Oryctolagus cuniculus: one gene and its partners. The protein of the gene in region 1 interacts with the protein of each later gene in a pairwise test. Links are inferred from orthologs where the notes say so. Each region holds a gene or a part of one and is shown in the gene's direction. Other genes may lie near its edges. The genes, in order: VIM, KIAA0408, FABP4, PNMA5, YAE1, NOD2 and KAT7.

Region 1 (4,055 bases):
ATTCAGCTAGGATCCTCAATCTCCTCTGCTGCAAACTTTGTTTCCTTCATGGTCTTTATTAAAACGTGCCTCTGTTTCGCCTGTTCCTTTATTCGATTGTCATCTGGCTGTACCCCATATGCATGCGTGCAGACTCCACATTCCAAAAGGGCTTAGACTATGCCTACCTTTTTCACTCTCCCCGGTGTCTAACAGAGTGGTTGGTACACGGTACATATTCAGTAAACGTGTCCTGAGTAAATGAGTGAAGGCTGCAGATTGTAATATCCTATAAAATGCAACCACATCTAAAGTGACTAGCACAGTGCTTAAACATAAGAATCATCAGTAGATATTAGCCCTCAACTCTTTTCTCCCACAGATTATCCATGCATTGATTCCTACCTTCCACAAATGTCCCCAGTGCTTTCCCAGCCACTGGATACACAGTGGTGACCAAAAGAGAAACAGATCCCTCCACCCCTAATGAAGGGATGAGCAATTCCCTTTGGCACACCATAGAATCTTAACGAAGTTTTTTTTTTTTTACTTTTATTTAATGAATATAAATTTCCAAAGTACAGCTTATGGATTACAATGGCTCCCCCCCCCATAACGTCCCTCCCACCTGCAACCCTCCCCTTTCCCTCTCCCTCTCCCCTTCCATTCACATCAAGATTCATTTTCAATTCTCTTTATATATAGATCAGTTTAGCATATATTAAGTAAAGATTTCAACAGTTTGCACCCACATAGAAACACAAAGTGAAAAATACTGTTTGAGTACTAGTTATAGCATTAAATCACAATGTACAGTACATTAAGGACAGAGATCCTACATGAGGAGTAAGTGCACAGTGACTCCTGTTGTTGACTTAACAAATTGACACTCTTGTTTATGGCTTCAGTAATCACCCTAGGCTCTTGTCATGAGTTGCCAAGGCTATGGAAGCCTTTTGAGTTCACCAACTCTGATCATATTTAGACAAGGTCGTAGTCAAAGTGGAAGTTCTCTCCTCCCTTCAGAGAAAGGTACCTCCTTCTTTGATGACCTGTTCTTTTCACTGGAATCTCACTCGCAGAGATCTTTCATTTAGGAAGTTTTTAAGAAAAAGGAATTACAGCCCAAAGACAGATGCATTTGTAAGCTGGAAGAATGGAAGCCAATCGCAGACAGCAATCTAACAGACGAGTGGACACAGGAAGCAAGGGGACATGTACTCACTGGAACTGAGCAATCCAAGAGTAGGGAAGTGGCAATGATGATTACTTTGCTGGGATGTTCCAAAGAGACAGGAAAGTTGGAAAGAGAAGCTGCTGTGGTTGGTGGGGTTTAGGGCGTGAGATAAGCTAAGACCAATTTTGGGTGTGATGCCTCTGAAGAGACAGAGCAGAATCTGGGTGACAATGATGAACTCACAAAGTATGGACTTGGAGCGCAGGTAGAAAGGAATCTCCCTGCTGATCTAATATGAATCATTGACACAACCTAACATAAAACATGACATTCTCTGTGTCTGCCAATGTACTCCGAGGGAAATTGCTCCTACGCCAAAGGATCTTTGCTAATTTCAGTCCCCTCAGTTCCAGGGACACAGTTGGTCCCTAAATAGTGTTTATGAATTGAATGCCTGATAGTATGAAAAATTTCAACACCAATCAAAGATAAATGACAAGTATATATTGGACTCAGAAAAGAGCCTCAATTTAAATTCTTGTCATCTCCTTCCACACCCCACTAGCTCTACAACAGGAGAAAACTGTGAGCTTGAGCCTTAGACCCCAAATTTGTGAACTGGAGAACCAAGTCTACATTGCAGGCTGCTGCAAGAGCATTAACTTAAATTAAATGCATGCACAATGCTTGCCATTCCGTAGACATAAAAATTAATGCACTTAGGGTATTGTTCATTAGTATCTTTATTATTGTGCCATTTAGGTTTTGCAACAGTTTTCACCCTCTCACTTCATCTACCTTCTTGCTTTCAACACTTCACCCAGACAGTCCTGCTGTGGCATAGCCACCATTCCCAAAGCCTCCACAGGCCACTAAGCTCCTGTGCACACGGCTGGCTGGGCTGTCAGTTCACATCAACCAGTCCAACTGACATCGCCAGAGCTTGCAAATTCCAAAATCACTGCTAGAACTCCAAATGTAGTCGTGTTTATGCCTGGCCTACAAATCATACCACCGTGTCCTTATTCATGCACCACTTGCATCATGCAATGTTTAAACCAGATTCATGATCCAGCACTCAAAAATACTTCTCAGATTTTTCTGGCAAAAAAAAAAAATACAAAAATTGAGAAATCTATGTCTGTGTACAGGTTGCTTTCAAAAGTTAACTAAGACCATAGATAATAGAGACAGCAGGATACATTATCAAGCTCAAGGATGTGAGTTCAGACATAACGAATCCTAACTGATGACTTCTTATTGAGGCATAGGGCTAGGCATGGATATGTTATCTCAGTGTGAATTCTTTCCAAAGTCTCCCGCATTCTACATGAGTGAGTGAAAGTGTTTCTGTAACTCTCATCTTTCAGCATTCTGCAGTCTACCTCCAATTATGGCGATTTCTCACAGGGAGGACAAATTGGGTACTGCACATGTGTATAGGTGTGTGTATATATCAGGGTGCCTAAAAATATTTGTGGAAAATAGAATTAAAAATCAGTTTATATTGGGGCAAAAAACTTGAAATTATGCACACAAAGAGTCTTCAGAATGTTCACAGGAAATGTACCTAGTGAAAAAATTTGCATGGATTTCAACATTTTCTGCACAAAAATAAACTTACCTTTTAATTCCACTTTCTGTGAACTTTCTGAAGTATCTTTGGTACTATATATATGTATATATATATATATATGCTTGACATATATTATATATAATTACATATACTACATGGGATATATAAATCTAACAGCTGTGGCCATACCCCCAGGCTTACCATAGCCCTGAGACTACAGAATGGTGACAGGCTAGAAAGAAGTAGCACCCCTAGAGGATGAAGAGGATGAAAGCCTGCCCCAGAACCACCACTGCCCTGCGGAATGTGCTGTGGGTGCAGGCGGGGCCCGTGGCCACACCACACCACAGCCTTGCCCTCATTTTCCATAGTGAGTCAGTCATCAAGTGGCCCCTGACCGCGCCACCGCATTGCACTGGGATCAGCATTTCACGCAGGGGGAAGGTCCAGCCTCTCCTCTCCCCAAAGGGAGGTGACTTGCCATTCAAAGGGTTGCAGGCAAACTTACAATGGTGACATTTGCTGAGCAGTGGCTTGAATAAAGGGCCCTCAGAAAGGCAAGACCTTAACGTGGAACATAGGCTAGTCCCAGGAATGCCCCTCAGCCTCCAGTGAATAAGGGAACAAAGGACAGCCACAGCAGGAGAGCTGGCCTTAGAGGGTCCTGTGGCAGGTCCTTGGCAGTGCCATTCACCAGGACTCACTGAGATGAGGTAAACTAAACATTGCTCAAAGAGGTTTGTACAAAAAAGGCTATGCTACACCCTTCAATTGCCACCACATGCTTTTTCTTAAATGCCAGGTGATTTCCAGTACCCGGTCCCCACCCAAAGAGGGTGCAGGAATCTGTTTCCTGTACAATCAATTTACAGAGGTTCTGCAGTTCACCGGTTCGGTACTCCCTAAGTATTCCAGATACTCCGACACCTGTGGTTCTTCAATTGCTGCTTCATCAAAAGAACACTGGCTTGCCTGTCCCTCCATCTCGTGTGTGTGTGTGTGTGTGTGTGTGTGAGAGAGAGAGAGAGAGAGAGACGACTCAATTCCACGTAACTAACAGTGAAACAATAGCCTCTGAGTTCAGCGGTTTCCCCAGAGAGGTTAAAGCGGCTACATCGGAACATTCCCTCCGTGTCCTGATCTCCAAGTTTTTTTTTGTCCTCTAGACAAAAGGCTTCCCCAGCTCCAAGTCCAATCCCACGAATTCCTCTGGAAAACAGGACCTGAGACATTTCCCGAACAATGCACTGGAACCCTGCACTATGCATCGCTAAAATTAACACATACATTCGGTCATTTGAGTTGTATAATTGCCTTTCACTT
Region 2 (3,500 bases), on another chromosome or scaffold:
AGCACATTTTAGACCACCACAGCTGGGTGACTCATGAGGGTCCAGGTGAATGCAACTGCAGTCCTCATTCCCTTTTAAGGCAACGTGAGACGCCTACATTGTGTCCAGATGAAGGGAAGACTTTGAAAGATGGCATATTTTCCTCTTTGGAATTAGAAGTGAAAATAGATAGCAAGCCTCCATGTAATGAAAATGTTGGTCTTAGCATGGGGTCATATGACACTGGGAAAGATGCCAAAAACAGCCCTCCTACTGTGTGGTTTCAGAAAACCTGCTCCACCCCCAATAAGTCAAAATATGAAAACATGATCCCAGATCCTCCTGCTCAATCTCATGCTGATCTTCATGTAAGTAATGACTGTAGCTCTGTGGTGATTCAGGGAAGTGGCCCACTTAGAAGTTTCAATGGTGGTTTTGAAAGGACAACAAGGAATGAAAAACTGGCAGCCAAGACTGATGAATTTAACAGAACTGTATTTAGAACAGATAGAAATTGTCGTGCAGTACAGCAAAGTCAAAGCTACTCAGAATCATCTGAGGATATTAAGCACTGTGATACCTTAACCACAAATCCAGGTAATATATCCAAAAGTGACAGTGTATCTGGTAGTCTGAAAACCAGTGCCCACATGCCTGTGCCTATGGGAAATGTGCCTGATAATTCAACCAAGAAACTCACAACTGGTCTTGTCAGACAAATGCCGGAACCCACAGGTCCTAGCAGTTATCGGAATATGCTCCATGAGCATGACTGGAAACCAAATAATTTGTCAGGCCGACCAAGGTCAGCTGATCCCAGGTCAAATTATGGTGTTGTGGAAAAGCTGCTGAAAACCTATGAGACATCAACAGGGTCTGCATTGCAAAATTCTAAGTGCTTCCAAGATCAATGGACCAAATGTAATTCTGATGTCGGTAGTGGTGACACATTAAGTCGGCATTTAAAAATGATCCAAATGGAACAAGAGTTTCAACGAAACCCAGCTATTTGCGGGGTACAGCAAGTGAAGCAAGTAATAGATCGGAAAAAGATAACAGAGGTGAGAAAGCAAAACAGCCTATGTTAATGGAACTGCATTGGTAGTTAGTGATGGCTCTGAGTTGAGTTTAGTTGCCCAACACATCAGTAGAACATAGGCACAAGTTTTGGCATCTTCTGGGCTTCTTGAATATTTGTTGTTTCTTTCCTGAAAAATACTCAGGCTGCATATTTATTGATTCGTAGAATTTTAACCTTTTAAAGCTTTCTTTATTCAAAAATAATTTTCAGTTATTAAGTATGATTAGCTCATATTGAGTAAGTCACATGATTTTTAATATGGGTAAATATTTAAAAATAGTGACCTGTAGAATCCTATCTCTGGAATTAAAAGAGAATATATGAAATAAGATCTTTTTAAATATATATTCTTAGCATGAAAGTTGCTAAAGAAGCATGAGGTTTTTAAGTAAACTGTTATTCTCTTTATCTGTTTACAAGAGTATAACTTTTGTTAACTATAGGAAAAAAGAGATCAAAGAAATTTGTATTTACAAGAATCCCTTTCTATGAATTACAATTTTTAAGAACAACTTACATACAGTTAACAGCTTACATATAGCTAACAGTAACAAATACTGTTATTGTTAGCCAATCCTTCTAAAATTCTAGTTTTACATAATGCAGTGTGTATTCAGCATGGTTTTAAGCTATGATGGTTTCCTCCTTCTGTTGTCAAAAATATTTTTATGTCCTTTTGAGCCCCGCAAAATCATATTTTCCACCACTTTATCAGAAACTTTCCCTGTTTTTATGAGGTACAAATAATTATACTGTTTTTATAGTTCTCTCTTCTCTAGTTGAGCTCATAAATAGCTAGAGATGAAAAATTCAAACATATACAGTAACCAACCAAAATTCTCGTTAACTAACAAGGAATAACCCTAAATGTCTCCCTGTTCTGCATTGATTGAGGATTTGGAAGTCCTCTATTAGAGATCACTAGAAGTACTTTTGTTGGTTTTCCTCTGTAAGTACCCAACTCCAAAGAGAGAAAAAAAGGAAATGCAGGTTACTATAAGGCTTTGACTAAAAATTAGTAGACATCAAGCCCCTCCTCACTGCCCATCTCAGATGCAAGGACATGGATTGGCTAAGAAAGTCACTTAGAACCAAGAGTATAAAATGTATCATGGAAGCCTTTAAAATTTTTTTTAATTGATAAGGAATGCTTTTCTTCCACTGAAATGAAAGGAAAGAAAAGAAAGAAAGAGAAGGAAAACATTTTCATTTGTCAGAAGATACCCGATATAAACAGCAACTCTTTATTTGCAGTTAGAATGAAGGTACATGAAAAGTACTTGGGGGTGGGTGTTGTGGTGCAACAGACTAAGCTGTAGCTTGCAATACTTACATTCCATTTTCAAAGGGCTGGTTTCAAGCCCCTGCTCCTAAGGCTTCCAACCCAGTTTCCTGCTTCTGCACCTGAGAGACAGCAGATGATGGCCCAAGTATTAGGGTCACCCATGCTGGAGACCTGGATGGAGTTTTTGTCTCTTGGCTTTGGTCTTGCCCAACCCTGGCTGTTGCAGCTATTTGGGGAGTGAACCAGCAGATACAACATCACTATCTTCTCTGTCTCTCCCTTTCTTTCTGTCACTCTGACTTTCACATAAATAAATCCATCACTTTGACTTGCAAATAAATAAATGAATATCTTAATAGAAACATCCAATGTGGTGCAGTGGTTAAGTTGCCACTTAGGAAACCCATATGAGAAGCCCTGGGATTGAGTCCCCTCTCCACATCTGATCCAGCGACCTGCTGATGTGCACTCTGGGAAGCTACAGATGATGGCTCAAGGACTTGAGTCCGTGGCACCCATGCACGGGACTTGGATGGAGTTCTGGGCTCTTGGTTTTGGCTTGACACTACCCCAGGTATTGCAGTTATCTGGGGAGTAAACCAATGGATGATAGATGGATCTCTTTCTCTAAAATTTTGAAATTTAAGAAAAAGTATACTAATGATCATTTTAACTTGAGAAATAGTGATGGTGTCCTTAATTTAAAAAAAGAGATAAATTATGAGATTTTTATGTCTTTTGCTTATGATCTCTAAGAAGTATGAACTAGACATAAATGAGCAGAAGTTTTTCTATAAGGCATTTTCATTTTTAAATAATACTAAATATCCTAATAATCCGGTAAGAGACATCTGTAATTCCATCCTATCAGTCATTTAACTTGAACTTTTGAATCCTGAGCTCATAACTATTTTTACAAAGACATCAACTGTATTGAAATTTGTCAGTGTGAATGAGATCCACAAGATTATCACATGTAATGATTTATATTAAAATTGAATTGCTTTGATTAAACATTCCAAGCCACAAATATTAGACAGATACCATCTTTAATTTTCAGTGCCTTTTCTTGGTTATAAGTAGGCCACATTGATCCCTTAGTTGGGATCTACAGTATATATAGTTTGCCATTAGTGCCTGTATAGTGAGATGAAT
Region 3 (4,126 bases), on another chromosome or scaffold:
GTATATCCCCAGGAGTAGAATGGCTGGGTCATATGGTAGATATATTTTCATATTTCTAAGGAATCTTCATACTGTCTTTTATAATGGTTATACTAATTTAAATTCCCACCAAAAGGGTAGTAGGATATGTTTTTCTCCACATCCTCACCAGTATTTATTATTTTTTGATTTTTGTATAATAGCTATTGTAACTGGGGTGAAGTGAAAACAAGTAAGGACTCAGTATATATTTTTAAGAAAAACATTATTAATTTGAAACATTCTCAAAATAATCCTGATATTGAGATTGCTTATTTTCCTTTCCTTTCCATCTGAAAGTTCTTATTCAGTAGGAACCAGATGAGTCCTTGATGGCTATCCTACCCTGGCTAGAGCTTTACCACAGTCTGTGTGTCCATGCAATAGTTCATAATGGAAGAACATTGTTACTGTGCCATGAAAAAATGTAACAATTAAAACAGTATTATAAACTAACTTTACTTTTCTAGTCCCTTACATTTGTACAGAAAGTCTCATTGGTTACAAGCTATCCTGCCCAAATGAGAGACTGTTGGAACAGCAGATATTGTTCAACGGATTTACAGTGATTCATCCCTCTGCAACTTTTTAGTTTCTTTTTTCCCTAATGCCTAGGTATGTTCATGCAAGTTTTTTGCACATATGAATATCTTCCATCATCTGGTATGAGAGGATGAGGACACTGAAAACCACGATTACTATAGAAAAGTAATCCCACAAGTGAGATATGCAAAGAAGGATAAGGTATCGATAGCTCGTAACTGACCCATTTCTGATCTTTCAAGTAAAGCAACAATGTTGAGATGTAGATTAATGCAGAGCTCATAATACAGTTCAAGAACTGAATGAATTTTCTCAGTGTGAGGACTGCATTTTGGATTGGAGCCTATGTTTTAAGATATCTTTGGAAATCAACACCACATCGTCATTTAAGGGATAGATAGAGTGAGGTTAAATTATCATTTAAATAAATCTAGAGTCCAGTTTCCCAGTGAATGAACTGATATACTCTTTTATTCATAGAAAGGTTTGAAATTAGAGGCCTGAGGTAGTTTAAAATGCCAGTATTTACTTTGCTCTAATAAGTAATTCCTGAGATAGTCCTGTCCCAAAGAGGCTTTGCAATGTTTTAAGAACTTCCAACATAATTCTTAGATTCCTTAATTTGAAAGAAACTCATAATAGCAATGTTAACAAAAAAAAAAAAAAAAAAAAGGATGTCAAAGTTCATCCCAAGGTAATTGTTCCCCTCTGCCCGGGGGTAAATATGTATGGAAATAATAGGGGGAAGTTCAGTGCATTAAGCATTAAATAGTCGAAACAGCATGTAAAATGTTCTGCTCATGGTTAAAAATAATTTGTACTCTAAGTCCAATGACCACTTGCCAGGGAGAACCAAAGTTGAGAAATTTCTATTAAAAACATGACTCAGAGGAAAAAATGCAGAGGCTGGTAAAGGAGGAAATGACCTGATATCGTTCCCAATTGGCTGTTCAGGAGATCACATGTTCTGAACATCTTTAAAAAGAAGTTGTCTGAACATTGGAGGGCCACAGCACCTTGCTGAAAGCTACACTTCTCTCACCTGGAGGAATAAACCTAGAAAGCTCAAAATGTGTGATGCTTTTGTAGGTACCTGGAAACTTGTCTCCAGTGAGAACTTTGACGATTACATGAAAGAAGTGGGTAAGAGAATGCATTGAGGGATGACTGGATTGATAACATTTTCTCTGGGGGGAAGTGGTTTATCGTGTTTTTCACTCTGGAAGCATTGGCCAGAGATGCTGTTTTCTATACAGAAGTTATGTAAGAAACAGGTGAGAATCTTTCTCTGGAGATGTGTTGAACAAAAGCTACAGCTAATACTTCCTGAAGCTGAAACTCTATGGGAAAAAAATTTGTGTAAATGAAATTCTTATGATCTACAGAAATGAAAAGATTTGACTCTAATTCCACAATGTGGGTATCTTTAGCTTAGTTGACTCTTTGCCTGCTTTTAAATCCGCTTTTGCATATAGAATTTGCAATAACTTGGAAAGAAAAACATATTTCTTTCCTAGCATATAATAATTTCCATTTGACAATGAAGGCACATTTCCCTTCTTTGCATTTTTTTTAGTAAACGTGCATTAGCAAATTATTGTCTCAATGTCAATGTATTAAGATGTATGATTGTTTTATGATTAGCAAGGTGTTTCTCATAGGGCTTTAAAACTTTGCATACAAATGGTATGGGATGCCATTGGATTATTGGTAATTCAAAAGGAGAATATTACATATGTAACAGTCTTCCTCTTTGATAATAGAACCCTTCAAGTTTTCATACTATTAACCTTGCCAGCATTTCATTGCACATCTATCCATTCAGGAGGTGAAGAAATGGAGGTAAACTAGGGAGACAATTTCTTACTCAGGCAGCTTCTGCTTTAAAAACCATTCTTCCCCTACCCTTGTGCATGATACAGTCAAATTCAGGGTTAGCAAACAAGGAGGGAATTTTAATAATATCTCTAGTAGGGGTTAAGATTTAATAATCCCTATAACTCAAAAGACTTAAACCATCCCCGACATTATATATAAGCTAGCATTTTTCCTGTTTACAGATGAGAGAGACATCAGGGACTTCAGTGTAAAAAAGACCTAACTTTCTAGAATGCTAGTTATCTGTGATTCAATAAACTAATTAATATGCATAATATGGAAAAGTAAGGATTTGGGAACATGTAGTTACTTTTAGAAATAGTCTACACTTTTGATAGTTACATTTAAATTTTTATAACAGTACGTTTTTAAATCGTAAAGGATTGATGATAGTTAAAGATAATAAGATACCTCCAGAATGAAATTAGCTGCTCCAGCTGAGGCTGAGAGAGCGGGCATTGCCTGCATCAGTCAGCAAGGAGAGAATGGTTTTTCCTAAGGTCAGCCATTCGAGCGTCACACTGGATGTTGTATCCAGTATTTAATGTGTTAGAGCTGGGACTTATTGAAGCAACCTGTCTTCCCACCTGGGTCACTCTCCAGCTTGTTAAATGGGAGCGTCAGTATTACTTATTTTGCACCATATTTCTCTCCATTTTGTCCCTGTTTCTAATTGTTCGTTACCTTTAGTCAAAAATATGGCTTGGATTTATGTGCACGTGTCAGAAAGTCAACACATCTACAATTATCATAAATTCTGCGTAACATGCAAGGTCAGCAAGTTCCCATTGTTTATATCAGGTTGTAAATTGTTCATCTCATACCTTGCACAGGAAAATATATTCCTTTTTTTTTAAAGAGGAATTGGCAGTTTGGGTGATTAGAAATCAAATAATCAGTTTCTAAACTACTGTTAAGTAAAAAATAATTTACCTTTTTTAACTTTCATAGTTATTTATTTATTATCAAGAAATCTTTTATTTAAAGTATACAAACTTCATGCAAACTTAGGAACATAGTGATTCTTCCCACCCAACCTTCCCTCCTGTCCTCACTCCCACCTTTCTTCATCCTCCCTCTCCTACTCCCATTCTTATTGTTTTACAAAGATCTATTTTCAACTAACTTTATATACATAAGATTAACCCTGTACTAAGTAAAGAGTTCAACAGATAGTATGGAGAAAAAATAACTGTTCCTCAACAGTGAGACAAGGGCTGGAAAATAGTGATTTCTTAAATTTTGAAGTTTTCATGATGCCTGGTCTTGCTTTAATAGTTCCTATAAGTTATTGGGAATGATATCACCAACCTAAAATGGTGTTACTATAGGAAATATTTTGCTTTCAGAAAGATTAACCAAAACCTTCATTCCATAGTGGAGCAATTTAGAAAGAAGCCCAGCAAGCTATCCTTGGCAGCAATGCCATGAAACGCGGTTTTTGTACACTCATGACAGATTATCTTTTAGCTGAACAACTCTGTATTAGCCCAAATGTTTTGTTAAAAATTCTTTGTGAACTTTTATATAAAATTTTTAGATGTAAGAAGGAATGGTCAAATTGCCTCAAACTTTCATGAATTAAAAAAAATGATAGCACTCACCTTTTAAAAATACATATAGGCCTGGAGATTTCATCTGTGTGCATATTCTTGCTGAAAACTAACACTAGACCTCCTGAGGAGTT
Region 4 (4,121 bases), on another chromosome or scaffold:
AGAATGAAGTACAGAGGTGCTCAGGACAGCTCTGCTCACAGCCTGTATGAGACTGGGCAGCTGGTGGTGTCATCCAGAGGGTGCTGTGGACTGCTGTAAGGAGAGCCGTCTGGTCTGTGACCACGTGGCAGCGCCAAGTAATCATTTTCTCCAGTAAGGAGAAGGAAATTAATTTAAGAGATAGTCCAAAGTATGTTCTTGTTAAGTACGCAGTATAGGGGTCTGGGTTACAGTGTCATGTCTCACCTAGGAAAAATTTTCAATTAAAGGAGAATAATGCAATATTTGTATGTATCTTACTTGGTGACATTTAGTTTTAAAAGTTTTCTGCTTTTCACATTTTCATTAAAATATGATTTTAAAAAAGGCCTGTTATTCGTACCAAATACAGCAAAACTTACGTTCTGTCAGCTTACAACTTCTGGCTCTGGTAATCTCAGAGCAGTGCTACACAAAGCATGGGCAGGGAACTGCAATAGCCGCTAGAGTTTTGGTACTTTTGCAGACTCTGAGCTCTGCCAAGACCTCCTGACTCACAACTTGAACCGCTACTATCACCTGCTCTGGGAAATGTGTGTGCACTTTGTAAACTGCTACCAGTGTCCCACCAGTGCCCTTTGCTGGGACAGGACTTTAGGGTCCCCAGTAGCCCCAAGGAAAACAGCTAAGTCTTCCCTCTGTGGAAGAAACCTGCTTTGGGAAAGAAAAGAGAGAAGTTTCGGTACCTCGTGGGTAATTCTCATGCAATCACGAGAATAATGAGAGAATGAAATCTTGATAGTTTCCTGTATCTCAATGAGCCTTGAAAATTGCATGCATTTGTAAAATGAAGGTAGTAGCTGTATTTTTTATTTTTTGCCGTCCCCTAGGACACAGTGGATAAAAATTAACAAGGACAGAGACGTTTGGTTAGTTAGTAGGTACCGAGCTTGTAGTTTGCACCTGGACCTATACTTTGCACATAGCCCTGTGTGCATAGCTTGGAATACACAAACAGGAGGAGCCACTGGTGAAAGTCAGAGCCAGTCCCAGTCCAATGGGTGAGAGACACCTATCATAGTAGCCGCAATGGTTGCTGGGACTGATGTGACAGGTGGTGGTCCTGTCGGCCTCTATTGAGCACGTACAAGCTGGACTGTGAGCAACTCTGCAACGCAACAGTTCTCAGTATGGTTTGAATTCTCTGTTCCCCCTCCAGTCATGACTCAGAGGAGAAACGTGCGGTGGACAGGGCACAACCCCTTTATTGCAGGAGTGGGGTGGAGGTGGAGATGGGGGTGGGCGTGGCCGTAGACGTTGCCGGGATGCATCTGCGAGTGGGCGGTGCTGAAGACCGTTGCTTACCCGACAATTTCTTTCCCGCCACAAACTCGCGGCTCATTCCGTACAGTGGCGGCGGCAGAGTGGCCACGCTGCACGGGCGCTGTGGCCTGGAGGCATTCCCAGAAGGTAAGGAGCTGGGTTTGGGCACAAAAGGGAACCAAGGTTACAACAGATTCCCTCCAATGATCCTGGTTGACCTCCATGAGGTCCCAGGGGCCAGTGGCCTTAGATTCCCCTGGAAGCAGAATCCTAGGGGTCCCTGATATTTCCAGTTATCATGAGTGGCCTCAGAACTTTAGGAGGGCCCATTCTACCCCAAACCTGCCCAGACGTAGCAGTAAGGACAACTGGTTCTGGCCCTTATCCTTGAGGGAAAGTGGCTTTGGCCATTCCTGTTCTAGCCTCTAGCTACCTCTGCTGACTAGATGTGTCCCTGCTCAGAGTAGTGGAAAGGGTGTGTGAGGTTAGGAGTGAATGGGACAGCCTGATGGGTACAGGAGGTTAAAGATAATGAGGTGGGGGAAAGGAGTACAGGGAAATGGAAGTGAGGAACTTGGGTGGGTGCAGGACGTGCACATGAATGGCGGAGTGTATGACACTCGGATGGACACAGAGTTTGGCGGTTCAGTGGCTCTTGGTGAAAGTGGCTTTTGGCGCCAGAAATGGCGCTTGCGCAAGACGCAGTTTGCCGGTTCAGTGGATCTTCAGAGGTTGGCTTTTGGCGCCAGGAATGGCGCTTGCGTGGACGCAGAGTTTGGCGCCAGAGGTGGGGCTTACGTGGACGCAGAGTTAGACGGCAGGGGTGGGGCTTGCGTGGACGCAGAGTGTTGCGCCGGGGTGGGACTTGCGTGGACGCAGAGTTTGACGGCAGGGGTGGGGCTTGCGTGGACGCAGAGTGTTGCGCCGGGGTGGGGCTTGCGTGGACGCAGAGTTTGACGGCAGAGGTGGGACTTGCATGGACGTAGAGTGTTGCACCAGAGATGGAACTTGCGTGGACGCAGAGTTTGACGGCAGGGGTGGGGCTTGCGTGGACGCAGAGTTTGGCACCAGAGGTGGGGCTTACGTGGACGCAGAGTTAGACGGCAGGGGTGGGGCTTGCGTGGACGCAGAGTGTTGCGCCGGGGTGGGACTTGCGTGGACGCAGAGTTTGACGGCAGGGGTGGGGCTTGCGTGGACGCAGAGTGTTGCGCCGGGGTGGGACTTGCGTGGACGCAGAGTTTGGCGCCAGAGGTGGGGCTTGCGTGGACGCAGAGTTTGACGGCAGGGGTGGAGCTTGTGTGGACGCAGAGTGTTGCGCCGGGGTGGGGCTTGCGTGGACGCAGAGTTTGACGGCAGAGGTGGGACTTGCATGGACGTAGAGTGTTGCACCAGAGATGGAACTTGCGTGGACGCAGAGTTTGACGGCAGGGGTGGGGCTTGCGTGGACGCAGATTAGACGGCAGGGGTGGGGCTTGCGTGGACGCAGATTAGACGGCAGAGGTGGGGCTTGCGTGGACGCAGAGTTTGACGGCAGAGGTGGGACTTGCATGGACGTAGAGTGTTGCACCAGAGATGGAGCTTGCATGGACGCAGAGTGTTGCGCCGGGGTGGGACTTGTGTGGACGCAGAGTTTGGCGCCAGAGGTGGGGCTTACGTGGACGCAGAGTTAGACGGCAGGGGTGGGGCTTGCATGGACGCAGAGTGTTGCGCCGGGGTGGGACTTGCGTGGACGCAGAGTTTGGCGCCAGAGGTGGGGCTTACGTGGACGCAGAGTTAGACGGCAGGGGTGGGGCTTGCGTGGACGCAGAGTGTTGCGCCGGGGTGGGACTTGCGTGGACGCAGAGTTTGACGGCAGGGGTGGGGCTTGCGTGGACACAGAGTGTTGCGCCGGGGTGGGGCTTGCGTGGACGCAGAGTTTGACGGCAGAGGTGGGACTTGCATGGACGTAGAGTGTTGCACCAGAGATGGAACTTGCGTGGACGCAGAGTTTGACGGCAGGGGTGGGGCTTGCGTGGACGCAGAGTTTGGCACCAGAGGTGGGGCTTACGTGGACGCAGAGTTAGACGGCAGGGGTGGGGCTTGCGTGGACGCAGAGTTTGGTGCAAGGAGTGGGGCTTGCGTGGACGCAGTTACATGGCAGGCGTGAGGCTTAGGTGGATGCAGAGCTTGGCCTTGGGGGTGTGGCTTGAGTGGAGGTGGGATTTGGGGCTTGGTGGGTGGGATTTTTCCCTGGGGGTGGAGCAGCAGTTTCTTGTATTCGTGAGCAGATTCAAAATTGGCACATCCTGAGCAGGGCATTTGGGACGTAACCACAGTGAAATACCTCTGCCTTGCTTTGGACAGATCCAGTGAAGGGATCCTGATCCATCTAACCTGGTTCGGGAACTGCCTGACAGGACAGAGCTGGAGAGCAAGCTGAGTGCCTGATTACATCAGAATCACAAACTCTACACGGCCAGTGGAATCCACACTGCCAAGTCGTCAAGTAAGTTATTTTGGAAGGTGAGCCTCTGTGACCCTGGCAAAGGACAAGGGGACAAAGGCTGCCTTCCAGGATCCACACACTCTGCAGGGTAGGGCCACACCTAGGGTGACAGTTGTCTGTTTCCTGCAGCGGGACAGTGGGAACCCTTCGTTGGGTCCCTTTTCTGCCCCTAATTCTAGCTGCTACACAATATGAAACCTTAAGCACTTGTTTTTTCAGCACTCAGTCCTTGCTGCTCACCTCACCCCCATCTCCCCTTCACTCTCCCAGCTCCCTTGCTGCTAGGACATTTCCATTGGCTGGAGGATAGTGACATCACCTGTTGCTCTTCAAG
Region 5 (4,149 bases), on another chromosome or scaffold:
TAATTTTATTTGAGAGATAGACAAAGAGGGGGAGCTCCTAGGCACTGCTTCACTTCCCAAAATACCAGTGATAATCTAGGCTGGAGCTGGACAAAGTTGGGAGCTGGGAAGGCAATCAAAGTCTCCCATGTGAGCAGCAGGAACCCACTTGCGCTATCACCACTGCTTCCCAGGGTCTGCATTAGCAGGAAGCTGGAGTCAGGAGTCAGAGCTGCACATCAAACTCAGGCACTCCAAACAAAGTGAGAGGCTGGCTTCTAATGAAGGCACTCCAATGCAGGAGGCTAGCATCTCACGCACTAGGCTAAATGCGCTCAGCTAGTCAACGTTATTCAATTGTTTTTATTGATTCCTTTATTGCCATTTTGTTTCTAATTAACAAATACATTTTTAAGAGTTTACTTAATATATGCCTTTTACAGGTTATATATTTGTGAGATGCAAAATTCTAAAATTTAAATCTGTAGCCTGCACCATCCACTCGCCCCCCCACACACACACACACTCAGGATTCCCTTTACTTTACTTGTTTTAAATTTGTTTCATAACATTTATTATTTATAATCTTCAAACTACCTAAGTTACTCATATTTGTTTGCTGTGTGTGCTCTGCAAATTCTACAGGAATAAAATCCAAAGGGCTAGGAACTTTTATCTGTTTTATTCACTAATGTATCCAGACACACAGGTATTCAAGAAAAGGTAAGACAAACAAACCACGACTGTCACAGGACTCATTTACCCACACAAACAAAGGCAAAACGGGATGCCACTGGGGTGCTTTCACCTGCAGTGTCAGAACCTGCTGGTGCTGGGGCAGACAAGTTCCCGCCCTCGCCAAGATCACAGTTTGCATTTAGCGCACGTGAGCAAGAGTGGAAGGCAGCGAAGGATACTGAGAATCAAGGAAGATGTATCGATGGCAAAGGCAACCTTTCTATTTCCTATTGATCTCAAATGGGCCGCAGTAGTTCACTCTCTGACTCTTTTGCTCTTTGCTCCAAGCTCCTAACAATCAATCCGTGTCAGGTTGTCACGTCCCCTGAACACGCTGAGATTCTGAGACAGTCTTTGGGCAGTACTGGCTCAACCGCCTTGAGTGATTTTACAAAAGGAGCCTCTCCCACACCCAGAACACTGCAGTCTACGACAGGAATGCGGGGTCTGATCAAGGTCACGCCCCAGCCGAGGAAGGAATCAAGGTGCACACGGACACACTGTGTTAACTGACTTAGTCCCAAAGTCCGCGAGTCCAAAAGCTCTGGACGTCAGGCTGGACAGCCCGCAACCACGACGGATCGCCTCGGCGCACGCGCACCCGCCCTGAGCGCCAGGAGCGCAGTCTTCGTCCCGCCCCTCACACCGGAAGGAGTCGCGGGTGTTTCCTGTTGCCTGCGGCTCCGTAGCCATCTCGGTGATGTCGTGGGTTCGGGCTACCCCCTCGGTCCAGAGCCCGGCCGAGGAGGGGGACGTGTTTGATGAGGAAGCTGACGAGTCGCTCCTGGTACAGCGGGAATGGCGGAGTCACATGCAGAAACGAGTGAAAGTAAAGCCGGGGGAGGGGGGTGGGAAGGGTGCGGGGACCCCGGGGGGTGCCGGGCTGTGGTGGAGCGGAGCCCCGAGTTTGTGAAGAAGCCGGGCCCACCGTGGTCCCAGTGGTCCCAGTCTGGCTAGCGCCGCCGTCCTTACCCTTTGCCACGCGGTGCGCCCCGCGTCCCGCCAGGATTTCCCAGTGGGTTGCTTGGAAGCGGGTGAACCCCAGAGACGCGTTGTTTGAGCGCTTGCGGGAGGGCGTTGGAGAAGCGGGACGCCCACCAAAACACATGTTGTCCACACTTGGAAGCGATTGCTGTCTGATGATGATCACAGGGAAGTGGGTGGGGGAGAGACATACCAATACAGTGATTACTTGACTGCTGATTATGGCTGTCAAAGGACGCGCATTCAGGCTTCCACGGGCAGCTTGAGTGGGTGGGGAGCCCAGAGTTAGGAGTGTTTTAACCAAGATACACGAAAAAAGTGAACTTTACAATGTTAAAGGCAGTAGGAGAGGGGTCGGGGCTGTGGCATAGCGGGTAAAGCCACCTCCTGCAGTGCCCGAATCCCATATGGGAGTTGATTCGAGTCCCGGCTGCTCCACTTCTGAGCAGCTCTCTGCCGTGGCCTGGGAAAGCAGTAGAAGATGTCCCAGGTCCTTGGGCCCCTGCACCCACGTGGGAGACCCAGAAAAAGCTCCTGGCTTCGGATCAGCTCAGCTCCAGCAGTTGCAGCCATTTGGGAATGAACCAGCTGATGGAAGATCTCTCTCTGCCCCTGCATCTCTGTAATTTTGCGTTTCAAACAAACAAGTAAATATTAAAAAAAAAAAAAAAGGCAGTAGGAGAAAGCTAAGATGGAATACTGATGACCAAGTAAGGGAATATTAAAACCAATTTTCTTCTTATTTGTTGGATGTGAATTATTCATGTCTAATTTTATTTGTTGAGTCTAAGCGTAATTTCCAGATGGAGTACTCAGAGCTTAGTACTGGGTGAAGACTAAATGGTGGGGGTTGCTTCCACTTACTATATTTGCCAGCCATTAAATTGCTCCTAAAGCTGTATTGGGGATCTGCCCCAAATTAATGTTTCAGCAAAACAATATTTGCTTAGTTCAGCAACCACGTTGTCAGTTACAAAAAGTTTTATGTGACGCTAAGGCTGGACCAGTCAATACTGCCACATCTCTCTCTTTCTCTCTCTCTCTCAGAATTTATTTATTTACTTGAAAGACAAAGTTACAGTTACAGAGCAGAGAGAGAGAGGTCTCCCATCTGCTGGATCACTCCCCAAAAAGCCCCATCAGCTGGAGCTGGGCCAATCTGAAGCCAGGAGCCAGGAGCTTCCTCCCAGTGCAGGGTCCCAAGGTCTTGGGCCATCTTCTACTGCTTTCCCAGGCCATAGCAGAGAGCTGGATCGGAAGTGGAGCAGCGAGGACTCAAACCAGAGCCTGTATGGAATGCCAGCACTGCAGGCAGCCACTTTACCCCCTTTTCCACAGTGCTGGCCCCAATAATAAGCATCTTTTGAGTACTGTGACATACTTGGGACATGCAGAACAAAGTTTCTGTCCACAGAGAATTTACTTGGATTTCAGGATCAAGCAAAATTTCTAAAACCAGGCTTCTCACTTTCCTTCTAAAACAGTTTTGCCTTTCCTTACTTTGTTCTGTCTCCTCACCCACTCACACCTTTCCACTCAGTTGCCAGAGGGCCAGACATGTAAGTTTCCATGTTTCCTTTCTGTGAAGACATTGCTAAAACAGAGGTGTTAAAAACTGGGTGAGAACACACTTCAAAAGTGGGATAAGGAACAATAAACCGGTAATAAATTTTTATGAGGAACATAACCTGCATTGCTTGTGGGGCTATACCATATTATTTTCAAGAATGCAGTAAAAGCCAGTTTCATCAGTTTTCTAAATTGGGTCTGTGCCTTTCTAGAAAAGCCTACATATGGTTCACTTGGTATTAGTTACAACTGTAGTTGTTCATTGCTTATTTTTAGGAAGGCTATAGAGAAGGAATCGATGCTGGCAAAGCAGTTGCTCTTCAACAGGGCTTCAATCAAGGCTATAAAGAAGGTGCAGCAATCATTGTAAACTATGGAGAACTCAGAGGAACACTGAGGTAATTCAGAAATTTAAATGCTGAATCTTTAATATTACAGGATGATTTTTATGAATATTAAAAATAAACATTTAAAGTGCTTCTTTCTGCTGTTGAATACACAAGAGTGTGGAAAAACATAGAATGTTGCCTTCAAAGAGTAAAAATCATTATCAGCTCATCCATTTTAATATGTGAGCCAGCTGTTGTCCCTTTTTTGGGCATGGAAACAGTAAGAGGGTGTGTACTCTTTGCTACCAGAATTACTGCCAGTCTCTAATTACAAGATCTTCAGGCTTTAAATAAAACTTTTAGTACTTGCACATTTGGCAGAACCCAATATGACAGACCTCTAAACTAGAAGTAGATGGAAATTGTAGTGAGTAATAAAGGTAAAATGATTCCATGTATTGTAGTCCTTAACATTGAATACCTGTCGGGAAGCCAGGGCAGTAACAGCATATGGCAGAACCAAATGATCAGATGGAGCTAAGACCTGACA
Region 6 (3,500 bases), on another chromosome or scaffold:
ACATTAGCATGGAGCTGGATTGGAAGTGGAGCAGCTGGGACTTGAACCAGTGTTCATATGTGATGCTGACTTTGCAGGAAGTGGCTTGACCTGCTGTCCTTCACACTTAACCTGCTTGACTCTGGCCCCAGTTTTTTCATAGTGTACATTTCCATGAACTTTTTGGAGAGCCCCCTTATACATGGATTTCAGGGTTTGTTGTACCAAAATAAACTGCCTTTTAATTCCAATTTTGCATGAGCTTTTTGAAGTACCTTTGTATATTGGGATATTGGTCCTATGCTCCTGGGTGGAAGGCAGACAAAGCCACCCATTCCTCAGTCTGGGGACCAGAAAGGCAGTGCAGACCCAGGGCCTCTTCTTTGAGTGACTCCTTGTCCTTAGGGGAGCTAAGACCTTACTGTGGAAGTTACTTGTTGGCCTCAGGGAAAAGAACAAACGGGCTGGAGCTTAGGTAGGGGTAGTGAGGCTGTGATGGGGTGAACCAGCTGGGACTCTGGACCAGCACTTCCCCATTTGTTGAAAGGGGAACTGAACCCTGATTCAGGAAGTGGTTTGCTCAGTTTCGGTTTTCAGGATGATGAAGGAAAGGCAGAGAGCTGCATGAGCACGGTGGGGAAGTGTGGGCAGGATAGAGTCTAGGCCAAGTGCCCAAGCCAGGCACCAGAGACTCTGCCCTTCCAGAGGAAGGCGCACCCAGAGGACGCAGGCTCATGTCCCCATTTCCAGGTCTCTGACTGCATCGCCCTGCAGAGTTCCACTTACCTTGGAGAGTCACATAGTCACCGTTCTAGGAGTCAGCATGTGGACACTGGGCGTGGGGGTGGGGGAGGGTGGTGGTGGGGTGGAGAACCATTGCGCCTACCTCACTCACGATAGTAATAATAAAAAACCAGGTTTCATTGTGTATCAAGTGTCAGATACTCTTCTAATCTCTTTTTATCTCATTGTCTCCTGAAATAATTCTTAAGATGTCAATTTTATCCATTTTTGCATACAAGAAAATTGCAGCCCAGCAGGGCTAAGTGGCTTGTCCATGTTGATGGTGGATCAATCCAAGTTTCAGAATCAGATGTGTCTGGCTCCTGAAACTGGATTCCTAAGCTCTTCTGCCTCCTGTGTCTTTTTAGAAAGAAGCAATGGCGGCTGTATGGTGAAAGACCCTGGGTAACGCTGCCCAGCCAGTGTGGCCAGATGGGCATCCACAGCCCACGACCCGGTGCAACCCTCTGCGCGCCTCCCAACGTCAGTAATGACCATGGCGATCACTGCTGTCATTCAAGCACTTGCTTTTGTTGGACCTTGTGCTAAGCACCATTTATTCATGTAAAAACTAGGAGGTCATGGCCGCCATTTCTCCACTTCCCAGGGGGAGAGAACCTGGCTTAGGGAGGCTCCCCGACCGTCCTCCAAGTCCAACTCACAGCTTGTGAGTAGAGGAGCCAGGACAGGTGCCCGGCAGGTCTTCTCTCCCACCAGTAACTGCCCTCTTCACCACGGCCCCACCCGCATCTCCCTCTCCTTCTGTTTTCTAGCTGCCGCGTGTAAGAAGTACATGTCCAAGCTGCGGACCATAGTAGCTGCACAGTCTCGCTTCCTCAGCACCTATGATGGAGCAGAGAACCTCTGCCTGGAGGACATATACACAGAGAACACCCTGGAGGTCCGGACCGAGGTGGGCATGGCTGGACCCCTGCACAAGAGCCCCGCCGCCCTGGGCCTGGAGGAGCTCTTCAGCCCCAACGGCCACCTTAATGAAGATGCGGACACCGTGCTCGTGGTGGGCGAGGCAGGCAGTGGCAAGAGCACACTCCTACAGCAGGTGCACTTGCTGTGGGCCACGGGGCAGGACTTTCAGGAATTTCTCTTTGTCTTCCCATTCAGCTGCCGGCAGCTGCAGTGTGTGGCCAGACCGCTGTCTGTAATGACGCTGCTCTTTGAACATTGCTGCTGGCCCGATGTTGGCCAACAGGATGTCTTCCAGTTCCTCCTGGACCACCCTGACCGCATCCTCTTGACCTTTGACGGCTTTGATGAGTTCAAGTTCAAGTTCACGGACCATGAGCGTCACTGCTCTCCAACTGACCCCACGTCTGTCCAGACTCTGCTCTTCAACCTTCTGCAAGGCAACCTCCTAAAGAACGCCCGCAAGGTGCTGACCAGCCGTCCGGATGCGGTGTCAGCGTTCCTTAGGAAGTATGTCCGCACTGAGTTCAACCTCAAGGGCTTCTCAGAGGAGGGCATCGAGCTGTACCTGAGGAAGTGCCATCGTGAGCCTGGGGTGGCAGATCGCCTCATCCACCTGCTCCAAACAACTTCAGCCCTGCACGGTTTGTGTCACCTTCCTGTCTTCTCGTGGATGGTGTCTAAATGCCACCAGGAACTGTTGCTGCAGGACGGGGGGTCCCCAAAGACCACCACGGATATGTACCTGCTGATCTTGCAGCATTTCCTGCGGCATGCCTCCCTCCCAGACTCAGCCTCCCAGGGCCTGGGGCCGAGCCTCCTTCAAGGAAGGCTCCCCACCCTCCTGCGCCTCGGCCAACTGGCTCTCTGGGGCCTGGGCATGTGCTGCTACGTGTTCTCAGCCCAGCAGCTCCAGGCAGCGCAGGTTGACCCTGATGACATTTCTCTGGGCTTCCTGGTGCAAGCCCAAGGAGTCGTGCCGGGAAGCACAGCGCCCCTCGAATTCCTGCACATTACTTTCCAGTGCTTTCTTGCTGCCTTCTACTTGGTACTCAGCACTGATGTGCCAACAGCCTCCCTCAGATACCTCTTCAACTGTCGCAGGCCTGGCAGCTCGCCGCTGTCCAGGCTGCTGCCCAGGCTGTGCGTCCAGGGCTCGGAGCACAAGGAAAGCACCGTGGCGGCTTTGCTACAGAAGACTGAGCCGCACAACCTTCAGATCACAGCAGCCTTCCTGGCTGGCCTGTTGTCCCGGGAGCACCGGGACCTGCTGGCTGCGTGCCAGGCATCTGAGAGGAGCTTGCTCCGGCGCCGGGCCTGTGCCCGCTGGTGTCTGGCCCGCAGCCTCCACAAGCACTTCCGGTCCATCCCACCAGCCGTGCCGGGGGAGGCCAAGAGCATGCACGCCATGCCCGGGTTCCTCTGGCTCATCCGGAGCCTGTACGAGATGCAGGAGGAACGGCTGGCCCAGGAGGCTGTGCGCGGGCTGAATGTTGAGCACCTCAAGCTGACGTTTTGTGGCGTGGGCCCTGCTGAGTGTGCCGCCCTGGCCTTCGTGCTGCGCCACCTCCGGCGGCCTGTGGCCCTGCAGCTGGACCACAACTCCGTGGGTGACATTGGTGTAGAGCAGCTGCTGCCTTGCCTCGGGGCTTGCAAGGCCCTCTAGTGAGTGTCGCTGGGTCTGGTTGCTCTGGCAAGGGGTGGGGAATGCCACTGGCAAAGTTAGGTGTGGGAGCGCTGAGCTGGGCTCCAGAAATGCAGACTCAGCACCAGCCCTGCAGCCCGGTCAGGTCTCTGCCATGCGGGGCTGTACT
Region 7 (4,231 bases), on another chromosome or scaffold:
GCTCTGTTTAACACATCAGTCAGGTGTTTGTCTTCTGCTGCTTTATTCCTTTGCCTGCTTCAGGGGGTGGATCTCCATCTTAGCTGGCCTCACGTGGATATTGGGGTCCAGGATCCTAACTTAGGGACTGAGGCTGTCTGGATTTCTCCCAGTTGCTCTTGGTCAAGCCTTGGTCTTCTCAAGACTTCCTCCAGGGAGGTCTCCACTTTACCAGCCTTTTCTTAGGGCTCTTCTTCCAGCCTAATATCCTGGACCAACTTCTTCCTAGACTCTCCCATTATTATTTAAATATCCATTCTTTTCTGGGCTTCAGCTTCACACACAAAAATATTCCCACCCTTTCTCCCCTCCCCCAACTTTGGCTCATGCTAAATGACCAGAGGTGGGGCAAGGGCTGTGGTCTGCAGCGCTGACATCCCATATGGGCGCTGATTCGTGTCCTGGATACTCCACGTCTGATCCAGCTCTCTGCTCCGTCCTGGGAAAGCAGAAGATGGTCCAAGTCCTTGGGCCCCTGCACCCGCGTGGGAGACCCGAAGAGGCTCTTTGCTCTGGATCCACACAGCTCCTGCCATCTGGGAGTGAACCAGCGGACGGAAGATCTCTCTCTGCCTCTCTGTAACTCTGCCTCTCAAATAAATAAGTAAATCTTTTTTATTTTAAATGACCAGAGGTCATTTGGGCTCAGTGGGGTTCAAGGAGTCTCTCCGACTTTGGCACAGCACCCCGACACCAAGGCGTATTTTTCACCTCTGGCCCCCCCCCAGGGCTCGCAAACCCGAGCACAGTGGGGGAAGGAGGTGGGCGCTCCACACACAGCTAAATGGAATTCTTTAGAATCACAGTTCCACAAGAATGGTTTTGCCGTCTCCCACGACTAACTTACTTGCCGTTCGCTAAGGGCAAGGACAAAGTCTCCTCTACCAGACAGGAAACTTCCTGATGACGGACGCCCTGTATTCCTTTTTTCCTGCCCCTTATTCCCACCCTCTTTGAGACACAGAACGGCTCTTAAAACACAAAGTTCCTTGTTCAAAACAGCCCTTCCCAACTTTAGAGTTTTAAATGATAAACGGAAACGTCCTTTAGGCAAATGAGCAACGAAAGGGTTAAATCTCAGCAACCTGATGAATTCTGGGGTTTCTTTCCTCGAATCCAGAAATTAAAACGACCGGGTAGGGAAATTTTGCCCAAGGTAAAGATGAGAACCGTTAACTTCAATTGTCAGGCTTCTGCCCCAAACAAGAATGGCTACCCACGCCCACAAAGGGCGTCACTCACCTAACTAAAAATGGCTGGCCCCGGTTTCCACTCTCGGTGCCTCTTCCTGCCCAACTCCAAAATGGCGCCTGCTAGCCTCACCGAAAGGAGCGACCCTCCCAGCACCCTCTCTGGCCCGTAACGTCAAATGACGTGAGCCCCAGCCGGAAGTGAAGGAAAAAGCGCTTCAGCCCGCGGCGCCTGCGCAGAAGGCTCCAGACGCTGTAAGGCAGGAGGCACTTGGGATCGTCCGCAGGATTGGGACTGTTACAGAGGCCGCCACGGAGCCCGCCGGAGCCACCGTTCCTGCTGCTGCCGCCGCTGCCCGAATCGGAACCGTCGGGCCGCAGCCGCCGGCTATGCCGCGAAGGAAGGTGAGAAACGGGAGAGGAGAGATGGCGGGTTTCTAAGGACAGTAGAGGGAGCAGCGTGACGCAGTAGGCCACGCCTCACAGCGCCTAGGTTCCAACTTCCCGTTCTCCCGAACCTAACTCAGCTATCCTCTCTCTGTGCATACCCAACAGAAAAATGTGGGCCCAAGCCTGGCCTCGGCCTATGCTTGCAACTATTCCCGCCCTCTGCTTGCCTGGGTCGAAGGCGTTCTTATTGTTAATTGGTCACTGGAACGTCTTGAAGCGTATTGATTGGCTGGTTACACCGCCTGTTTGGGCCCAACGGTCACCTCCCCGCATGCGGGGGTGGTGTCTGGACCCGGCCTTAGCAATCTCCAATTGGCTGTAGCGACCGATCCCTCTTCTCCTAATTGGTCGGGCTTGGCAGTCTGTCCCGCGGGGGCGCGGCTTAGCAGGGCGTCGATTGGGCGGCGTGAATCCCCGCCCTTCCGGTTGAGGATGTTGATAGGTGTGGAGGCGGGGTTTTGGAGATCTCTTTCCTTTCCAGGTGGGGGCACAACAAAGCAGAGAACTGGGTGGTGGAGAAACAGCGCCCACCCTCCAGGGGATCCCGCCCAGGCCTGTTGCGTTCTAGCCACAATCTGCGGTTCTGTAGTGGCTGGAAAATCCTGTTCGAAAGTCAAAAATTTTCTAGAACTGTGAGGTCACCTAGGAACACCCTCTTCCCCCTTCCCTTCTTTTTACAAGGGAACACATGGAAGTCTCAAGGGAGTGTCCCAAGCCCCTCGAAATGGGCGGTGGCCGAGCCATAACTACAGAAACACGATTCAGTTCAACAAATGTTCATCGCCTGCCTGCTACCTGCTGATCGCTGGGGATTCCAGGCTCAATTAGGCGTGATCTCTGACTTAGCAGTGTTACTGTGTGATGGGGAAAGCGTGTATGTAAAGAACTGAAGGAGGTAGTACATTTTCTGCTTCAAGGTACAGAGTGCCGTGGCGGGAAGTGAAGGAGCAATTAAATGTGCTCTGGGGAAGAAGGGAAGCCGATTGTAAAGCCAGAAAGAGGAGCTGAGCTCAGGGCTGGGCGAGGAAGGAGCGGTCAGAGGTCAGGGGTTCCCGACCCTGGGTAACTGGGCTGAGATGAGCCTTCGGGTTTCCCCTTCATCTTGGCGCTTTCCTCTGATTCTTACAGGACTTTGATTCATCTCATTTCTCCACAGGTGACCCTGAAATCTTTGGAAAACTAGGTGGTATTCGTGCTCAATCTGCTGAAGTCTTTAACCCCCAGAGGCCTTCTGTTTTAAATGCTTTTTTAATGTCCCCTAAAGTCACCTAGGTTGGCAGGTGGTGCTCATGTTAAGGCTGACCAAATGCAGGAGTGGTAGTGGTGCCTTGCAGTAGATCCCCAGGCCCCTTCTGCAATCCCCAAATACAGTGTGTTCTCCAAGAGGCTTTTCAATAACTTGTTTGGCAGCAAACCTATCCTAAACTGTCAGGCTTCCCATGGTCTTTTCGTGTCTCATTTAGTGTGACTGTGTATTTTGCTGTAGAAATATGAATGTGTTTGATTAGGGGTGTTATTTGTAAGCTATATGCAAAGTATTCCTTTTCATAAAATCTTAAACATTTCTCCTTTAAAAAAATTAACTTATTTGAGAGGCAGAGAAAGAAAGATAAAAACAGCTCCCATCTGCTGGTTCACACCTTGAATGCCCAAAACAGCCAGGGTTGTTCCTGGCTTAAAGCAAGGAGTGAGGAACTCAATCCGGGTCTCCCAACTGCTTAAGCCATCAGCTGCTGCCTCTCAGAGTGGGCCTTAGCAGGAAGTTGGAACGAGGCACGGTGGTAAGGGATGCTGGTATCCCAACCAGAGGCTGAACCTCTAGGTCAAATGCCTGCTCCCTAAAATCTTAAAAATTATGAATTCCAACAGCCGCTGGCCTTGAGGGTTTTGAATAAAGAATCGGGACTTGTAGTTTGAAATTTTTTATTGCTTTTAGCAAATATTCTTTCTTTTTTTAAACACTTATTCATTTATTTGAAAGGCAGAGTTAGAGAGAGACAGAGGCAGAAAGAGAGGTCCTCCATCCACTGGCTCACTTCCCAAACGGTGGTAATGGCTGGAGCTGGGCCAGTCTGAAGCCAGGAGGCAGGAGCCTCCTCTGAGAGAGCCAGATCAGAAGTGGAGCAGCTGGGTCTCGAACCAGTGCCCATATGGGATGCCGGCACTGCAGGCAGCAGCTTACCTGTTACACCACAGATGTATGTATTATTTCAAAGACAGAGATGTAGAGAGAGAAAGAGAGAAAAAGAGATATCTTCCATCCTCTGGTTCACTCCCCAAACGGCTGCCACAGCTGGGCTGGGCCAGGAGACAGAGACTTCTTCTAGGTCTCCCATGTGGGTGCAGGGACCAAGCAGTTGGGCAATCCTTCAGTGCTTTCCCAGGCCATTAGAAGAGAGAGCTGGATTGGAAGTGGAGCAGCCAGGACTTGAACTGGCGCCCATATGGGATGCCGGCATGGCAGGTGATGGCTTTACATGTTATGCCACAATGCCTGTCCCGAAAAGATGATTTTTAAAATCCTGCTTTTTTTTTAAAATATATATTTTATT

The links.
Region 2: the proteins of VIM (region 1) and KIAA0408 interact in binary tests that used the Homo sapiens proteins (3 or more experiments, as listed by UniProt). The link is inferred for Oryctolagus cuniculus from reciprocal best matches to the Homo sapiens genes VIM and KIAA0408.
Region 3: the proteins of VIM (region 1) and FABP4 interact in a two-hybrid assay, tested with the Homo sapiens proteins (2 studies listed by BioGRID and IntAct). The link is inferred for Oryctolagus cuniculus from reciprocal best matches to the Homo sapiens genes VIM and FABP4.
Region 4: the proteins of VIM (region 1) and PNMA5 interact in binary tests that used the Homo sapiens proteins (3 or more experiments, as listed by UniProt). The link is inferred for Oryctolagus cuniculus from reciprocal best matches to the Homo sapiens genes VIM and PNMA5.
Region 5: the proteins of VIM (region 1) and YAE1 interact in a two-hybrid assay, tested with the Homo sapiens proteins (2 studies listed by BioGRID and IntAct). The link is inferred for Oryctolagus cuniculus from reciprocal best matches to the Homo sapiens genes VIM and YAE1.
Region 6: the proteins of VIM (region 1) and NOD2 interact in binary tests that used the Homo sapiens proteins (3 or more experiments, as listed by UniProt). The link is inferred for Oryctolagus cuniculus from reciprocal best matches to the Homo sapiens genes VIM and NOD2.
Region 7: the proteins of VIM (region 1) and KAT7 interact in binary tests that used the Homo sapiens proteins (3 or more experiments, as listed by UniProt). The link is inferred for Oryctolagus cuniculus from reciprocal best matches to the Homo sapiens genes VIM and KAT7.

Annotation. Positions count from the first base shown.
Region 1 is NC_091444.1:43,365,578-43,369,632, forward strand, and holds the start of VIM (vimentin), read left to right. Parts: upstream 1-1,255; 5' UTR 1,256-4,055. UniProt on the Homo sapiens protein: Vimentins are class-III intermediate filaments found in various non-epithelial cells, especially mesenchymal cells. Vimentin is attached to the nucleus, endoplasmic reticulum, and mitochondria, either laterally or terminally.
Region 2 is NC_091436.1:42,223,268-42,226,767, forward strand, and holds part of KIAA0408 (uncharacterized protein KIAA0408 homolog), read left to right. Parts: coding exon 1-1,040; intron 1,041-3,500.
Region 3 is NC_091437.1:106,978,249-106,982,374, reverse strand, and holds the start of FABP4 (fatty acid-binding protein, adipocyte), read left to right. Parts: upstream 1-1,326; 5' UTR 1,327-1,631; coding exon 1,632-1,704; intron 1,705-4,126.
Region 4 is NC_091453.1:131,406,284-131,410,404, reverse strand, and holds the start of PNMA5 (paraneoplastic antigen-like protein 5), read left to right. Parts: upstream 1-1,321; 5' UTR 1,322-1,449; intron 1,450-3,645; 5' UTR 3,646-3,787; intron 3,788-4,121.
Region 5 is NC_091447.1:29,676,221-29,680,369, forward strand, and holds the start of YAE1 (protein YAE1 homolog), read left to right. Parts: upstream 1-1,349; 5' UTR 1,350-1,417; coding exon 1,418-1,546; intron 1,547-3,546; coding exon 3,547-3,668; intron 3,669-4,149. UniProt on the Homo sapiens protein: The complex LTO1:YAE1 functions as a target specific adapter that probably recruits apo-ABCE1 to the cytosolic iron-sulfur protein assembly (CIA) complex machinery. May be required for biogenesis of the large ribosomal subunit and initiation of translation.
Region 6 is NC_091449.1:34,258,672-34,262,171, forward strand, and holds part of NOD2 (nucleotide-binding oligomerization domain-containing protein 2), read left to right. Parts: intron 1-1,535; coding exon 1,536-3,351; intron 3,352-3,500. UniProt on the Homo sapiens protein: Pattern recognition receptor (PRR) that detects bacterial peptidoglycan fragments and other danger signals and plays an important role in gastrointestinal immunity.
Region 7 is NC_091448.1:25,797,124-25,801,354, forward strand, and holds the start of KAT7 (histone acetyltransferase KAT7), read left to right. Parts: upstream 1-1,431; 5' UTR 1,432-1,619; coding exon 1,620-1,634; intron 1,635-1,689; exon of another isoform or gene 1,690-2,111; coding exon of another isoform or gene 2,112-2,160; intron 2,161-4,231. UniProt on the Homo sapiens protein: Catalytic subunit of histone acetyltransferase HBO1 complexes, which specifically mediate acetylation of histone H3 at 'Lys-14' (H3K14ac), thereby regulating various processes, such as gene transcription, protein ubiquitination, immune regulation, stem cell pluripotent and self-renewal maintenance and embryonic development.